Linked DNA regions of Saccharomyces cerevisiae S288C. Changing the gene in region 2 together with the main gene of any one other region gives a genetic interaction. Each region holds a gene or a part of one and is shown on either strand. Other genes may lie near its edges.

The links.
Region 1: mutations in UPC2 (region 2) and AIM4 together harm fitness more than expected from each alone (negative genetic interaction), as found in Saccharomyces cerevisiae (2 studies listed by BioGRID).
Region 3: mutations in UPC2 (region 2) and PIR5 together harm fitness more than expected from each alone (negative genetic interaction), as found in Saccharomyces cerevisiae (2 studies listed by BioGRID).

What each region holds. Positions count from the first base shown.
Region 1 is NC_001134.8:608,523-611,001, reverse strand, and holds AIM4 (Aim4p), read right to left. Parts: upstream 965-2,479; coding exon 593-964; downstream 1-592. Other genes in the region: MSI1 (Msi1p), read left to right, coding at 1-388; RNA polymerase II mediator complex subunit MED8, read left to right, coding at 1,249-1,920; RIM2 (Rim2p), read right to left, coding at 2,217-2,479.
Region 2 is NC_001136.10:887,781-892,992, reverse strand, and holds UPC2 (Upc2p), read right to left. Parts: upstream 3,243-5,212; coding exon 501-3,242; downstream 1-500. Other genes in the region: AHA1 (Aha1p), read right to left, coding at 1-118; chaperonin-containing T-complex alpha subunit TCP1, read right to left, coding at 4,082-5,212. UniProt on the Saccharomyces cerevisiae protein: Transcription factor that is involved in activation of anaerobic genes such as DAN/TIR cell wall mannoprotein genes and YML083c.
Region 3 is NC_001142.9:117,370-120,344, forward strand, and holds PIR5 (beta-1,3-glucan linked protein), read right to left. Parts: upstream 1,457-2,975; coding exon 593-1,456; downstream 1-592. Other genes in the region: FMP33 (Fmp33p), read left to right, coding at 1-418.

The sequences.
Region 1 (2,479 bases), on a different chromosome or scaffold from region 2:
ACACGATGGTGGAGTAAACTCCTGTAGATTTAACTATAAGAACTCTTTAATTCTAGCATCTGCAGATTCAAATGGGAGGCTAAATTTATGGGATATTAGAAACATGAACAAAAGCCCAATCGCTACCATGGAGCACGGTACTTCCGTTTCAACTTTAGAATGGAGTCCAAATTTCGATACTGTATTGGCAACGGCTGGCCAAGAAGATGGGTTAGTCAAGCTATGGGATACCTCCTGCGAAGAAACTATATTTACCCATGGTGGTCATATGCTCGGTGTGAACGACATTTCGTGGGACGCTCATGACCCTTGGTTAATGTGCAGTGTGGCAAATGATAATTCAGTTCACATATGGAAACCTGCAGGAAACCTTGTTGGACATTCGTGACCTAAACGTTCCTTGAAGCCAGGCATGCTAATGGCTCCTGTCCCTATTACATATTCAACCATTTGATAGACGAATATACAAACATAAATAGAGTTTATAAAATATGCTCAAGACTTGCTACAATAAACACTACGCTCAGACTTCATGCTGATTTCAATATTGTATTTCGAAGAAAGTGGTTGCTCATTTATTACCTTTGAACTTTCACTTTGGTATTTTGATATTCTCGAGGTTTCCCAGTCTGGCTTGAACTTCAGTTCGCCTTTTGAAAGTGGCAGGATTATAAGGTATATTTCTGTAATGTGATGGTGCAGTGCCTCTTGGATTCCAGTCTTTATCGTAAAATATACTTCTTATACCGAGTTCACCGTTCTCTTTTTCACGACCCAGTGAGTGTCCAGAATCAGCTTCTAAATGACCTTTTGATACAGTCTGCAGAAGCTGTCCCTCTTTATTTCTCTCTAGGTTTCTAGAAAGTGATTCAACTTGATTTCGTACCTTTTTCTTATTTGGGCGTTGGACCTTGGAAACCCTTCTTTCTGTTAAGTTATTACTTGGGTCCTTCTTTTGATCCATTAAGCTCAAACGTATATAGTATAAAATGATGGAATGCGAGAACTAAAAGGATTGGATGACTTTGAAGGTAATATATTTCCTTGATATTTGAAAATAATCAAAAAAATTTGCTGAAGGCCTTTGCAAAGTGTCTAAAAGTACGTTCTGTTCAAAAAAGTAAGGAAACTCAATATACAAAAATTGCCTTTTCGTCAAAGTTAAGGATTTTAATATTGAAATATTTCATCGATATAAGAGAACCCCGAGCAAGAAGAACAAAAGAAAAACATAAAGCAACGTGGAATATGTCACAATCTACTGCATCACTGGTACCAGAGGGCAATCAAGGCTCCCTCCAAGAAGATGTTAGTTTTGATTTCAATGGTGTACCTGGCCAGGCTTTAGATGCCGTGCGCATGCGTTTGGCTCAATTAACTCATTCATTGAGGAGAATCAGAGACGAAATGTCCAAAGCCGAACTGCCACAATGGTATACACTCCAATCACAACTGAATGTCACATTATCCCAGCTCGTTTCTGTAACCTCCACTCTACAACATTTCCAAGAAACTTTAGACTCTACAGTGGTTTACCCTTTGCCTAAATTCCCAACCACCTCTCATGAAAGTTTGGTCACTACCCTTTTGAGGAAGAAGAATATTCCTGAAGTGGACGAATGGATGAAATATGTTAGGGAAACATCTGGAGTAACTACAGCCTTGCTAAAGGATGAAGAAATAGAAAAGCTGCTGCAACAGGACAGAGAAATAACGAATTGGGCGCGCACTACGTTTAGAAACGAATATGGAAAGCACGATTTCAAAAATGAAGAATCCCTAAGCGAAGAACACGCTTCACTTCTAGTACGAGATAGCAAACCTTCGAAACCTTTCAATGTGGATGATGTTCTAAAGTTCACCTTCACAGGGGAAAAGCCCATTATTACGGGATCTACTTCAACATCATCTAGTAATTGAATTTTACTTCACGCTACTGATATTTTAAAACATTTTATTGTTACTAGTGACCTGGTAAAAATATTTACAAGTATAAAAGGACCAATTTACTGAATGAAGTAAATAAGGATCATTGATATGTTACGATAAATAATGCAAAGTAAAGGAGAAGAAACGAAGGGGTCCAAACCTTAGTAGGTTAGCTTTCTATAAACTTTGACAGGCTTTATATCCTTACAAAATGCACTTTTTTCATACTTTTTTGTTAGAGTATGTCTTGGCCCTAAAGTGAATTTAGAGTTTTTTAGATTTCAAGGCTACGATAGTAGCCTTATAACAATTTCCCATGTACCAAACATAATTATACTGTTCGGAACTGTTCTCATCAAATGCGGGGTCAACCCACTATACATTGAAAAGAGTCCCTCTTCTTTAATTATAACTTTGAAACTTTGTACTAAACCTGTATACTTTCGTTTACCATTTTCCTTGGGCGTTTGTCTCAATCTCGTCCTGACAACTTCGTGCGGATATGTTGCTATACTAGCCACAAATTTTGCAAGACCAGCGCTTCCTGATC
Region 2 (5,212 bases):
TTTTATCCTTCACCGAACCGGCCTCCACTCCAACCAGTTTCTGTTTGAAATACTCCTTGGCCCATCCGATGCAGTTCTTATCGACCCAGTGCCAGTTATTTGGGTTATTCACGACCATATTGATATATTGTTGCTACTATAAACGATTAAGAATAAGACTGAAAGGAATAACGAAAGTAAGGAATTGCCTCTCTATCAAAGTTTCCTATACGAGTGAACTTTCAAAATGCCTGCAGTTCTTTTTGTATTTGCATTACACATAAAAAAAAAAAAAAAAAAAAAAAAAAAAAAAAACTAACTACTTTTATATAATACAATTACAGATATGTTCATTCTCCCACATACAATGCGGTAAGTAGGCATTTTGAATCCATCTTGGTTTGTTGCGAGGCTTCTTTGTTTTTTCTTCTAGAAAATTCCATTGTGAACTGGGTAACACAATATCCCTTTTTTTTTTTTTGGGAATCTATTTCGAATATTCTGCACTTTTAAATTTTCTATCATAACGAAAAATCAGAGAAATTTGTTGTTGTCATCGATGGTAATCCGCCACCGAGGAAATCTAGCATCATATGCATACCACCACCTCCACTGTATTCGTCAACATCTTGAGGCAGCACCTGCGTGACTCCTTCGAGAAACCAGACTTTATCCTTGACCTCTGTGGCAAATCCTCGAAGTAGTTTATAATATGATCTCATAATTCTCATTGCACCTAAATCACCTGTCATCAGTAATGCCAGGAATGTCTTGTCTAGCAATGCTGGAAATGTAAATACCCGCAGAATAAAATCACCCTGGTTTTTTTCACGGTGCAATTTATCTAAATAAGCTAGTGTTATCAAATATGGCGAATCTAAGCCGACAGGATACAAATCGGCAATACTTTCATCAAAACATACCAATTCAGTAATTGTTCCAACATCAGGGTTAATGACATCGCCTAAATCGCTAAGATCAACAGATATAATGTTATGAAATTTAGATCTTTCACTCAAAGGCCACACAGCGGTTAAAATTGTTGCAGCACCTTTGACATGAAAGATCCAAGCGCTTGGTGACATGCTATTCAAACTTTGGTTTCCTACAGTGCCGTTACCACTAGCATTTGCTAACGAGTCCATGATTAGTATCAGGGCGCTGGCAACTAGCGCATCGGTGTTATTCTCAGATATTTCTAAAACAGCTTCTCTTAATAATCTCAGAGCGTCTAGGCGGTGAGATGAAACGTATTGCTCCAGTCCAGTTTCAGTCCTCGAAAGATGGGTGGCACTGAATGCCAACAAAGCGTGCATTAAAAATGGATAGTCAAATGCTAACTCCGGTATGTAGTCCCTCCATATTTCAGGCCCAGAAACTTTGGCCGCTGTAATCGTAGGCCAGACCTTTGTGCAATAATGATGAAACAGTTTCATGTCTATCAGGTTCAGATTGCCTTTGGTAGAAAGATCTAAAAGCTTAGCGATGTTACTGGTACCAGCAGAAACAGAACTTCGGTCAGCTTCGTTATTAATTTTTGAGGTCATGTCTTGCCGCGATGCATCGTCTTCATTCTCTGTCTGTGATGTTTGTAAACTTATCGTTGGTTCGTTGTTCTCCAAGGCTGCTTTTGTCAGATTTCCTAGAGAACTTATAGAATCTTGCATCTCTTGCCTATCATTCAACACTGCAGAGGGCGTTGATGGAGAAATGTTGCTGTTTCTGTTCATGTTTCTTTCAATCATTGATATAGGCGCCATTGTCGAAACCGCATCAGCCGCCTGAGGTTCCATAATACTAGCACTTCCCCCTTGGGCGTTATTCGATGGCGCTGGACTCTTCGTATCAGAGAGCTGACCATCATTCTCCTTTACAGAAGCAGCTGCACGTTCATGATGCTCTTGCATATTGGCCAAAGCTTCCTCTGCGTTGCTGGCCTTAGTAGCTCTTGAATTGCCGTTATTTATTGGAAACTTAATACCTAACAGTTCCTGAAAGTCATAGGAAACACCACCAATACCAGCTGTTGGAAAGGTACTTAACGACTTTAGGCTTAGCCCCATCTTACTTAACTGAGATAATGCATCAGCTTGTAATGTAGCAGCATCGCTGTTTAAAGTAGTTTCGCTTGTTTGTGATTGTAAAGGCCCTTCCTTTACCTTTTTGCTGTTTTCTTCCTGAACGCCACCTTCCTCATCGTTAGGTTGTTGCTCTTGCTGAAGCAGTACTTGTTGCTGCTGTTGCAAAAAATGTTGTTGGTATTGCTGGAGTTGTTCCTGTTGTTGTTGCTGAACTTGTTGGTGTTGTTCCTGACGTAATTGTTGATACTGCTGCAGCTGAACTTGCTGATGCTGTTGCAATTGCAGCTGCTGGTGTAATTGATATTGTAATTGTTGTTGAGTGTAGTTTTGGCCGGAAGGAATCCTGTTACATAGTAACATCCCGCTTAGACTATTTGATAAGCTCATTCCCGTGGATTGCAATGCAGGACTACCCGCAAGATCGAATGAACCATATCTCTCGTTTGGAGTTCCACTTGCTTGCTGCGCTTGGGTCTGTGGTTGAGATTGCTGCTGCACTTGCTGCTGTTGCTGAAGTTGGAACGCACCCATATTTCCAGAAGGCAATGGCGGTAATAGTAAGCCATCGATACCTGAATTCAATCTTTCAGGAGAACCAAAACCAATAGTGCCATTTTGAGAGAAAAAGTTATTCATCATATCTTTCTTATTGATGGTACCCTGGAGGCCCATACTTAGAGGAGTCATATTGTTTTTGTCCTCTATAGGGGCCGATGACTTTTCCTCGCTCTCACTCTTAGTTGTAGAGGCGCTTGATGGAAAGGAATCATTGGATGAGCCTGAAGCTTTTACCGCTGATTGGATATCATTGAACGGTGTCTGCTCCTTCTTGATCGTAGGAGGTAAATCTACCGATGAATCAGACTCCACGCTACCGTCTGCCTTTCTCGTGACATACTTCACTACTGTTGCTCCTCTACCTTTCCTTAAATGGATTGGTGTATACTGACATTCCAACTTCATATTTGTGCACTTCCTACAGGCTGGCTTCCCTTCATCACACTTAACTCTTCTTCTTTTACAGTTATCGCACCCATTCTTTGATTTGTTATGGAATTTACGTTTACCGGTTGAAGTCGTACTCACCTTTTTGCCGTCCACTTCAATTAGCTCGATGACTTTTTCTCTTCTTCTGGGTTTTGTCACCGCTTTCTTGTGATTCTGTATACCGACTTCGCTCATACTGCTGAACTGTAAATATTTGTACTTAACTTTTTTTGATTCACTATTTCTGGAAAGCTCAATTTTGTTTTAGTGTTGGATAAATGAGAAAAGATAGTTCCTACAACTTCAAAAAGTTAATGTATGTAAAAAATCGCTGTTTAGAGGAACAGTCAGCACTATCGCACCCTGAAAGCAATATCAATCTTTGACAAAAGAAGTGTCTACTTTCTATGCCGCGACTTTCCAAGTAACTTGTATTTGCTGATCCTGCCAGGGCGGCGCATATATAGATTTCGACAAGCACATTCACTGAAGACAATAGAATAATATTCGTTGGGCGAAAATTTGACGCGATCCCGCTAAGGTGCGCTCGTTTAGAGAAAAAAATAGCTTGGAAAAAACCTTATTTAGCTGCCACATTTAGACAGAATAACACAGCCACTATGGGAGATATTCACCCTGGGGATCATGTTTAGAAACAGGCTTAGCAGTAAGCGCAATTGAATTCATGGAATACACTCCGCATTCTTTTTTATTGCCGCCTTACTAAAATGTAACGCTAGCGTTAAGCTTTTTTCCTTTAACAGGGTTCCTGCTCGTTTACGAACAAACACAATAGTTTGTAGGGACCCGCTTCTGCATTTGGACAAGAAAAACAACTCAACGAAGTCCTAATAGGTACGCGTTATTACGTATTAGTCCACCTCGCACGTGAAAAGCTGGGAAGCGCTTATCAACTGCCCAGAGTTAGCGATCAAATTCAAAAATAGAACTAGCTGAAAAAAATATAATTAAATTTTATATAGGTTTATTAGTTTACATGCAGATACAGAATCTCGTTCGGATTACGCAAAGAATCAATGATCGTGCGGATCTTCTTTGGGTGGTTCTGGATCCACTGTAATCATTGTATCAATTCTTAGAATTGCTACACAAGCCTCCAATGCTGATTTCAAGGATTTGACTTTGCTTATGGTTGGCTCAAGAACACCAGCGTGAATCTCGTCCACAATTTTACCTCTAATCAAATCTAGGCCGTAATTTCTGTAGCTTCTCCTCTTAACGTCCTCTGGCTTGGCCATTTGACTAGCGGCATGGTAGGACCTTAATTTTGCAACTAATTCACTAGAATCCTTGGCAGCGTTAACAGCTAAAGTTTTTGGAATGATTAATAATGCAGCTGCAAACTCAGCAATAGCTAACTGTTCACGAGAACCAACTGTGGTGGCAAAATTGTCCAAATAGATATTCAATGCGGCTTCAACGCAACCTCCACCGGGGACAACATTTCCACTTTCAAGCGTTCTTTTGACAACAGAAAGAGAATCGTGCAAAGAACGTTCCATCTCATCTAAAGAATAATCGTTGGCACCTCTTAAAATGATCGAAGAAGATGAATGTTTAGAAGTACCCTTAATTAAGATACACTCATCATCAGAAAATTTGGCTTGAACTACTTCATCACAAAGACCTAAATAACTGCTTTCGAAAGTTTCCTCACCTTCTAAGTTAGACATAGAACTAACCAAAGTGGCGCCTGTAGCGCGTGCAATTCTTCTCAAATCTTCCTTCTTACAGCGTCTTACACCCATTATCTTAGCTTCAACGAACTCCTTTAAGCATAAATCATCAATACCTTTGGTGGTTAACACAACTTGAGCACCAGCATCAATGATCTTCTTCACTCTTTCCAAAACAATACCAGCTTCACGTTTACGGATTTGCTCCAATTGTTCCGGATCATCAATGTTGATTTGAACACCCATTGCCATACGAGCTTTCTGCAAGTTCAAATCCAAACATGCGATTTTCACATTGCCACCGGCGATACGTTTAGGCATTGCTTGAGAAGCAACTGTACAATTCAAAGCATAACCTGGCACCAACAGTGATTCAGTGGCAGATTTACCATGAGCTTTCAACACATTGACAGCCTTTACGGGATACTTGATTTCTCCTTTGGAATTTTGCGTCTTAACAGCCAAAAG
Region 3 (2,975 bases), on a different chromosome or scaffold from region 2:
ACTGTATGGGACAGGTCTGGCATGCCTATATCTAGAATCAAATAGCTTGAATAAGTCCAAAGAGCAAGAAGATCCCCATGCCATCGCAGAAGACGACATTGTAAATATAGTCCATGACGCTCCCAATAGAATATTCAAGCCAGCACTTGATACCTATCAAGAGAAAGAGCTTGACTTACAAAAGAGTGACCTCCATAAAGTACTTCATTCTTTGACGTACAGTGATGTCTCTCAATTTTCGATTGTTTGGGGGTTTCTCATTCAACTTTCGAGCCTAATAGGCAATTCCACCTTAGGCAAAAAATCCATTCTTTATAAGGGAAGTGTCGTTAGTGTTTTAGGGTTCCCACCGTTGATTTATATGGCACTTAAACTTAGGATGAAACAGCTGGAAAAAGCTGGAGTGCGCTTTGAGTAATGCAGAAGGCAACATCTCCGAAAATAAAAACGATGAAGTAAATGAAAACTCGTTTGTGAATACGTAAAATTATAACGCGCCCCATACATAGTAAGACAGACTTACTTTTATACTATTATTTTAGTTATATTTTTGAAGTACAATCAAGACCTGCAAGATTATAATGTTGGTGATTCAACAATCGACGAGACCAACTGTTTGTAAATGAACGGGATTGCACTGGCCCCCGATAGACTGATCGTAAAGGTTATAGAAAGTGCCCGACAGACATTGGTAAAACACGTCATTATCACCAATAGCTAAAGTGCCATGCTTCGTTATCGACCAGCCGCCAGCGTAAATAGCGCCCGCCTGTGGAGGTGGACCATCAAATTGGAACTGTCTGTTTGCTACTATCGATCCAATTCTACCACTGGAGTCAATAAGAACACCTCCTTGTAACGTTATTGCCAAGGTGCCAGAACTTTTACAGGCTTGCACCTTGATCACTTTTTCATTATTTGGTTTCTTTGTTGGCTCTAACTTACTCTTGGAAAGCACAGAACTACTACTGGCTGAAGAAATAGTAACTTGCACTTGACCATCATGAATCTGAGAAACAGCAGTTGCGGTTGAAGTTGCTGTCGCAGTTACAGTTTTACTTGGAACAGCAATTGTGGACTTTGTGACAACATTTTTAGCTGTAGTTATTTGTAATTGACCATCGCCTATTTGTGACACAATATGTGACACTACTGGAGGCACCTTCTGCGTTGTAACTTGTATTTGGCCGTCTCCAATTTGCGAAACTGGATGAGGTAATTTTTGTGTCGTTACTTGCACTTGACCGTCATTAATTTGTGAAATGACGTTTCTTTTGACCTTACTTTCAGTAACGGTGAAAGGTATAACAGCGAGACCGAATGAGGTCCGGTACTCTGTTGTGCCACCATCCATTTTAGAGCTTGGAGTTAAAGTTGCCCAGGGTTCAGGTGGAGCGTACGCAGTTAGCGCAATACTACTTAATAGAGATGCTAGAAATGCTTTCTTGTAATGCATATTGGGGCGGTGTTCACTTCTTCAGTAAGTTGTATAGAATTAAAAAATCGAGACTAAACAGAAATTTCGAAACAAGAAGATAAGTATATGTATACAAGTTATTTTACTCTTTTAACTGTTTTCGTTTCCCCACTCTTTCGCAAAAAGAATAATTTTGTGAGTCAAAACAGTCGAATTTTCTTGCACAAAAAGTCGATATTCTTTTGTGACTCTGTGTAACTTACTTTCTACAGCTTTTGTTACTCCACTTCTCTTATATATACCCAATGATTCACTCGTAATATATCAGAGGAACGTTAGAATTTCTGTATTTTCTCAGGAATCCTACAAAATTAGAGGTGAAATTGATCAGGTTAAGGAGCAGAAGCCCACTATATAAGTAAGATGATATCAAGCCTAGTTGGATGCCTTCAGGAACGGCAAATAGGATATGTGAGCTTGGCAAAGGGGTTTTGATAGAGTAACAATAGATCCTTGCTAGCCAATGCGACGTTCCTCTGTAGTTTTTACCACAGTTTTACTTAATTTCGTGCTTTGTCCCTTTTTGGCAAAAAAGTCGGATAATGTCTTCACTATATTTGTGTTTTCGTCTTTTAGGAAAAGCGTACTTTAGTAAACTACAAATTTGAGCTGAGCTAATTTCGGATTAGTAAAAGATGCAAGGAACAGTAAAAATTAAAATAGCGATTGACCGAAATCAGTCCAAAAATTACTACAACAAGCAAATCCAATTAAAAACAGTAAAATACTTTAAGTGCATTTACCGTTACGAACAACATATGTCCTAGTTAGTATAGTAGTCTACTAAGTAGCAAAAAAGTAGAAACTCTGTCACTATACCAGCCATCAGTTCATAGTAAAACAGTAAAAATTGTAAAAACAAGCAAAAAAAAAACAAGAAGGAACAAATGCACCAAACTGTTGATCTATTCTGCAAAAAAAAGTATGGTAAATTTTTTCCATTATCCTGGCCGCTAATCCATATGGAGGTGAACTTAGAACTTGCACAAGGATGCGATGAATGATAGGCTTTGTGCTATAATTAATGCAGGCAGGTCCGCCATGTCCAACACGTTGCTGGCCGCAAAACGAGTCAATCTCACTGCTTTGCCACGCTCATTTCTCCCCCCTTCTGCCCAATTAGGCGACCCTCACAATGCACATACACATTTCCCACCTCTATTGGAAGGGGCCGTAAATGGTAATTCTTGGGAGTTATTCATATTAAGTGATCTTACTATTTCCTATTTCGGAAATTATTAAAGACAAAAAAGCTCATTAATGGCTTTCCGTCTGTAGTGATAAGTCGCCAACTCAGCCTAATTTTTCATTTCTTTACCAGATCAGGAAAACTAATAGTACAAATGAGTGTTTTCTCAAGCGGAACACCACATTTTGAGCTAAATTTAGATTTTGGTCAAAATAAGAAAGATCCTAAAAAAGGAATGGTTGGTGAAAAATTTATTAGCTTGAATGGTAGGAATCCTCGAGATATAAAAGGAACACTTGAAGTCTAACG